2 linked regions of the Coturnix japonica genome follow. The protein of the gene in region 1 purifies or fractionates together with the protein of each later gene. This does not show direct contact. Links are inferred from orthologs where the notes say so. Each region holds a gene or a part of one and is shown in the gene's direction. Other genes may lie near its edges.

Region 1 (3,651 bases):
TGCATCTTAATCCAAAAGCTGCTCTGGCTCACTGCAATCAGTTTAAGGTTGATACAAGGAGTAAAAGGGCTGTGTGTATCTGGGTCTATAGGAGAGAGGCCACCTTTGTTCTTTTAAGCCATTTGTGATGCCTTTCAGGCTCCAAACTGCCACACAATAGCTCTGTTAGAATTTAAGTACCCAAAGTAGTGAAGGACAAAGTTTTGAGAGCTGATGTTTTACTTAATGATAATGTTAATCAATCTAAGAATAAGGTATTTTACCTTCCCTCATTATTTAGTGTATTTGAATGACTGTGTTTGATGCACCTCTTTCTGTTGTGGGTGTTCCTTAGCGTTTTGGTGATTTTAGTTTTCTATCAGCCTTTTATAAGACTGTTACACTGTCCACTGTCTGTGCTGCAGGTGTTTGAAGCTGAGCAGTTTGGGTGCCCTCAGCGTGCTCAGCGGATGAACACAGCATTCACCCCCTTCCTGCACCAGCGCAATGGCAACGCAGCCCGTTCCTTAACATCCCTGACCAACGATGAGAACCTGTGGGCATGTTTGCACACTTCTTTCGCTTGGTAATATCACTTGTGTTTCTGGCTTCTGGAACACAAAGAAAATATTGCCTTATTTTGAAAGGGTGGAAATGTTTGGGTTGTTTTTCTTGATGTAGTAAGCTGGACTTTGCTAAGAAGTCTCTGAATTGGAAGGAGCTGAGCACGGAAGGCCTCGTGATGGCTTTAAGGCAGAAATAGTTCTTATTGCAGTGAAGTAAATCTCCTTATGTGACTATTGATGGGAAAACTGAAGTACGAGGAAAAGGAAGGAGAAATGCAAGGAAAGACACTCCCACCCCTCAGTGTGTCATCAGAATTCCCTGGAAAGATGCCACAGAGAGGGATGCAGTGCTGGCATGTGACTTGGGTGGGGGATAAGCATATTGCACAAGGTAATTGCAAAATGGTAGGCCTTGCAGTGACTGAGCAATTAGAACACTGGTAGTTAGGACAAAGGAACATGTAGGCGTGTGGATAAGGAACACGTACTGGTAAATGGTTGAATGTTTTGTTACACCAAGTTTCTTTCTCTGTTTTGTTGCTTGGCATTCATTAAGCCTGCTTACTGCTTCCACCTGTTTTTCAATGTCTCCAGGCTTCTGAAAGCTTGTGGCAGCCGGCTTACAGAGAAACTTCTGGAGGGAGCTCCAACTGAAGACACCCTTGTTCAGATGGAAAAACTTGCAGGTGAGGCCAGAGTTTCCAGAGCTGGAAGATCCTCTAAGAACGCTGTGGCTGGTAAAACACCAAGTGCTTTTGCCAGCATAGCAAGTGCAACCATCTCTCTTGGACCCCACCTTAATGGTAGCCCTGCAGTAGCTGATGTGCTTTCCCATATGACTGTGACTTCGAGGGACATGAAATCAATGCCTGTGGCATTGTAGGCTCTCTGCATACACTTATGTTGTTTATTGTTTGTGTAGGAACATTGCATCATTGTCATTATTGTTCTCTGGCTGGGTTGGCCTTCCCAGTTTATCTCTATAGCCAGAAGAATTTGCAGGCAAAATATGGAGCTTTCTTCTTGCTCTTTTTTTTTCCTACCAAGTTTCTAAAATTAAGGAATCTTAAATTCTTATATTTAGTGATTTTATTTCTCCATTTAGAATAGAATCTGCAAAATCTGCCTAAAAGCTGTGGCAGTGACCCTTAAAGAAAGAACAGAGGACACACAGCTGGTTGGAGGATGTGATGTTTTGTTCCATAAAAGATGAACTTTCCTTGTTGACTTTTCAATGATTATTTTATATCTGAGATGCAAAACTTAGTTATACTTTAAGGCTGGTGACACTGGTGTTTTCAGTTATTGTATTCCAAATACTTTCTCTCCACATGCAGCCAAAAACAGTTATCTGTAGTTTGTGTAGGCACTTCCAAGGTGATTTCCAGACTTAGCTGCAATTATAATGAGAACTCAGGTTGCTCTTGTCTGTTTGTTTGCTAGACCTCAAAGAAGAGTCAGAAGGCTGGGATGGATCTGAGGAAGAAGAGAAGCCTTCTTCCCAGCCAGATGCTGCAGAAGGGCAGGAACTATCTAAATGCTCTCCTGAAACATCTCTGATGCCAGATTGCAACAGATGGAACGTGGCTCACAGAAGGTTGTCTGTCTTCCGCTCTCTCAGGCATATGAGGCAGGTAAGAGAGGAGCACATTTACTTTGATTCTGAATTCAGGAGCTAATGAATTCTCATTCTTCCGACACTGTATTTTGAAAAGGATACTTTTTTTTCCTTCAGTTTGCATTTGTTTCCTGTTCAGGGCAATACCTACATAGCTAGTAACAGTGTTAATGGCATTTGAGATCCTGGCCCTCTCTGAGGTTGTGCTCTGCTTGTCCTGACCCTCTTCCAGTCATCTGACATGGATGGGATCATGTGATTTCTCTCCAGTTCTGCACTTCTGTCCTTCCCAAAAGCCATGTCAGTAAATGCAGAGGTTATGCAGCACATTCAGAGGTCTGAGTATTGTTTGCTTACAACAAAAATGCTTAAGGGGAAAAAAAATAGGGAACAAATGGTTCAGTCTGTGTGGATTTAACTTGTCATTAGTGCTTCCAGTTACTCTGAGGGGAAGGCTCTGTGTGGGAGACCCGTCGTTTCTTTTACACCAGCTTGTTTTCCTGGATGCTCTTGACAAGTATCTCCTACTTCTTGATCTGCTTTATCTGCCACTTGTTCTCCTTTGTCCTAATTTGGAATGCTAGAAGCTATTAAACTACACCATATTGCAACCTCTGGCTACCTTTAGAGGCCTATCTAAGCATATTGTTACATCTTTCATGCCTGAATCACTGTTAGGAACATAACACAGATCAGAGAAATGGGTGAAAGTTACCACGTAATAGAAATCATTCAGTCCCATTCCAAACAGGCCTGTATCCATCTTGCCCACCCACTAACTCAGCCAAGAAGCAGCTGATTTGTGTAACCCTGCCAGAGAGCTGAAGGATTGGAAAGATTCTCTTACTGTGCTTAATGCTGACTCAGATCATGGGTTGGGCATGTTGTCAAGGTGGTACTTTGCTGCTGTTTATTCGTGAAGCTGTAAGAGGTGGTGAAAATTACTTTGCACAAGTCTGACACCTTTAGCATCTGTCAGAGAAATACTTAATCTTGGTGCTGGGTTTTGAACTGTTGCTAAATGTTCATGTTCATTCCTGCTGTCTGGTTTTAGATGCTTTCCTGTGTGGCATGTGTTTTAACTGGGCAGACTGGGCATTTCCCTGACTTTCATAACAAATGCAGTATGGTTTCATTTCAGGTTCTTGGGGCATCAGCATTCCGCATGCTGGCTTGGCATGTTCTGATGGGGAACCAGGTCATCTGGAAAGCTCGAGACATGGATCTTGTCCAGTCTGCTTTTGATGTGCTACGGGTAGAGACTTCTTCCTTTGTTTCCCAGATGCTTGTTTTTACATGTGTTTAAATAGTCCAGCTTTCATAATAACCTGCCTCTAATATGTTAACTTGTGGAAGATGTGTTCTAAATTACATAATTTTGAGGGGAGATTAAAGTCCAACCTTTGGATTTCTTGGTTGTCCATAGATGGCAACTGCATAGTCTTTCTTTCAAGCAGAGTGAGATATTTCTGATCACTCCTCTCCCTT
Region 2 (3,651 bases), on another chromosome or scaffold:
TTCAAGCTGATATTAATGACTGTTGATCAAGTTAGAAACTACCTGTTTTTCACTTGGCTTTCTTATAGCTTACAGGATAGCTTTGAATACATTAACCAAGATCCCAGCCTTGGAAAGCTGAGCTCTAATCAGAATGGCTTGGGTACCTGTCGCAGTGGAAGTAATTTAGGTAAATATTTCCATATTCTTTCTGGTACCGTGATACCATCTGTTCATTTAGGGTTGGTCTCTTTTTTTTTTTTTATTTTCCTCTTGTGCATCACTTTTTCTTTTTTTTTTTATTTTTCCTTTGCATTGTGTTTTCTCTACATTGCTTTTGTTTCCTAGGTGTGTTACAGCTGTGTAGCAGCAAACTGCTGCAGGGTGTGTCTGAAGGAGGTCCCCTCCGGCTCATCCGCAGTGCTTCTTTCTTTGCAGGTTTGTGTGGAATGCCAACCAAAGTGTGACCCATCCATAAGCACACACAAATTCTGCTCTTTCTGAATCCTTGCAAAGAATACATAATCACTCTCTAGAAATAGAAAGGGCTGAGGTGGTGACTGCAGAGATCTGGATTCATACTCTAAATTTTTCTTAAAAAAAAAAAAGACACTTGATGGATAAATTTCTTTTTGTTCATCTTTTGTTTGTAATTCCAGTATTGAACTTTAAAGCAATGTGTCTAATAACGAATGAGCCCTTAACATTTCTTAGAGAACTTATGTTTCCTGCCTTATGGCTGATTTCTTGCTAGTGTGGAGGTGTCTTGCTTTTTCTTATGCCTTACTACTTTCCTAAAATATAAATATATGTATGTATTAATAATAAATATATGTTTTAGGGGTGTGTGTGTATGTATGTGTGTGTGTATATATATATATATATATATATAAATGGCAGTAGACTTTCTGTATTACTTCTTGAGCTAAGTGTCAGGAGCTTTAAGGTTTTTGCAATATCAGTTTCTTTACATAGTGCCCTTTTACAGGTGTATGATGATCCATGCAGGTGGGTAGATACTGGGCTTAATTAGTTCTGTTAATTGTAAAAATGTGAACTAAAATGCCAATGCGTTTCTTCACAGCCTTTGCAAATCTTGCATGCTTTACAATTCTGGTGACTCCACTACTAACACCTCAATGTAGCACAGCATAAAGCAAATGTGTCTTACTTGTGAAGCTTTGTAGTTAATAAATCAACTGCTTGGAGAGTGAATCAGAAGCTTAATGGACCTCATGTCTGGCTATTCCACTGTAACATTAACTTCTGTAAAATTATAATCTTGAACACAAAACAAATGTTAAGATTAACAGATGAGAGTACCACTAGTCTGTTTTTTCAAAGTGTATCTGATTTTTGGTGAAAGAGAATTTAGATTCTCAAGCTTCTTGGTGAAACTTTTAGATTGGGTAAGTAACTAAATTCCTCTGGTAAAATAAAATGATTATGGAGCATGGAGTTTGCTACTGCCTCCACTCCCAACATACTGTTTATTTGAAGTAACATTTCAGGATGTAACTTCAGTATTTTATGACCTTTAATCTTTAACATTTTTTAAAATGCTGACAGATAATACAACAAATTAGGTAACATTTTTTTTCTATTGATCTGTTTGTTTTAGCACATAGTACACCTGTCGATATGCCCAGCAGAGGACAAAATGAGGACAGAGACAGCGGCATTGCTCGGTCAGGTATCTGATGTTTGTCTTGTTTGCCTACTTTTGTAATTGCATTACAGTTCTTTGACTTGTCTAAATTCCAGGTGATCCAACACCTTAAGAACTGAAATCCAATTTTTGTTTTGCATCTATTGAGTTTTCTTCCTGCTTTCCTCTGCCTTTATGCAAGAGTATTCATTATTATTGTTATTATTATTTTACAGCTATAACTTTCTGGCTTTTTACTAATTTGTAAGCCCTAGAAAGAACAGGCTGGAACTTCTACTGTAGCAAGGGAATTGAAGAGAAATTAGCACTGAGTAAAAAGAGGAGGCTGGGAAACTGAGGTCTATCTAGTCTGACTGGAGTGCAAGCACCTCCTGTCTCAGAATGCTTTTACTGAGAATAAGACTGGTTTTAGCATGTTCTAGCCAGGAAGATCTCTGACCCTGTAAGTAGCCATGTCCTAAGATGAGGATAGTTGTTTAAATTAGTTGTGCATTTCTTTTTGCAGTGAGTTAAATGAAAACTATTCTAGCTGTATCACAGAGATCAGCAAACGAGAACAATATTTGTGTGAATTTGTTCCCAGGCAGTGTATTAAGAAAAGTATTTAACTGACACTCAGTAAAATTCAGCATGTTTTTTTCCTTCTTTTTTTTTGACAGCATCTTTGAGCAGTCTCCTGGTTACTCCTTTTCCATCTCCGAGCTCTTCATCATCATCTTCTAGCAGCTATCAACGTCGTTGGCTCCGAAGTCAGACAACCAGTTTAGAGAATGGAATTATTCCAAGGTGGTGAGTGTAACACCTTCCTGCTTACTGCAGCTGCTTGGCAATAATTTTAGCTAAATAGAGCTCAGACCTCTTCTCTTTAAAATGAGAAATTGTGGTTTAAAAAATATTGGCAATTCATTCTGACTTACTTGTCCTTTTTATGTAAGGTAGCCTATATGAAGAAATATCTTAGTTGAATGTGAGCTACAGGGCCTGAATTGGATTATACACATTTTTAATGAATGGATAGTCTGTGTCAAGAAGACCTCATTCTGAAAAGTAAACTGTTTCTGAAGGAGCAATCAACTGAGATGAAAGTCTGTAACAACACCACTGCCTTAATTATGTTATATTATGATGAAGTCTGACTATTGGGCATTTATGGAAATCTTGGAGTAATAGCCCAAGATGGCTCTTTTGTCTGGTACAGGATATTCTTGTGACTTCTGCCAAACCAGGGGGAGGAAAAGAGCTGTGATTTGTGTATGTTTGGTGGCCCTGCTAGGCAGGGGGGTTGGAACTACATGATCCTTGAGGTCCCTTCCAACCCTGTTCATTCTGTGATTAAAAAAAGACTGGCTTTTGTTTTGGAATTTTATTAGTTTTTTCAGCTGAGTGACACAACAAAGCATGGAATGCAGCAGATCTCTTGTAGCTAATAAGCACATTCTTGTCTTGTTAGCTGCAAAATAGTGAATGGGTCTTGATTATCTGCTCATATGTGCTCATCTACCTGCACCCAGAGACAATGTTGAGTTAAAGGAGAATTACAGGCAGTTTCTACATTTGGGCTTGTCTCTCTTTGCTGTCTTTGGTTAGGAGAATCTTAAAAGCTGCTGGTTGAATTGTGGTCAGTCAAAAATAAACACACATACTTTTTGAAAAGCCCACTTTGAAATATGTCCTAGTTCAGAATTGACTTTTTTTTACAACCTTTTCCTTGGATGTTCTTGAAGAAACATTTGTAATGTTAATTGTGCAATTGTGCTCATGTAGTGGTCATGCTTTCCTAAATCACTCTTGAAGCTGAGAATGAGCTAACAAACATTTTGCTTTCAGTAAATGGAAATGCTCCTTAGTCTAGTTTCCTAGAGCAATAAGGCTATGTGTATATGCAAAAGAAGTTAAAACATTGAGGGGGAATTAGATTATTCCCTCTTTGAAACAATTGAATTTAACATTTTCAAGTAAGAGCATGCTGTTGAAGTGTCAGAAAAAGATTTTTTTTTTAAAGG

The links. The genes of interacting proteins can lie anywhere in the genome.
Region 2: the proteins of FLCN (region 1) and FNIP2 purify together in Homo sapiens (affinity purification with western blotting; 5 studies listed by BioGRID and IntAct, with this or other methods). This does not show direct contact. The link is inferred for Coturnix japonica from reciprocal best matches to the Homo sapiens genes FLCN and FNIP2.

Annotation. Positions count from the first base shown.
Region 1 is NC_029529.1:4,761,803-4,765,453, reverse strand, and holds part of FLCN (folliculin), read left to right. Parts: intron 1-404; coding exon 405-565; intron 566-1,139; coding exon 1,140-1,231; intron 1,232-1,988; coding exon 1,989-2,179; intron 2,180-3,304; coding exon 3,305-3,418; intron 3,419-3,651. UniProt on the Homo sapiens protein: Multi-functional protein, involved in both the cellular response to amino acid availability and in the regulation of glycolysis.
Region 2 is NC_029519.1:19,400,233-19,403,883, forward strand, and holds part of FNIP2 (folliculin-interacting protein 2), read left to right. Parts: intron 1-68; coding exon 69-169; intron 170-327; coding exon 328-417; intron 418-1,600; coding exon 1,601-1,672; intron 1,673-2,307; coding exon 2,308-2,437; intron 2,438-3,651.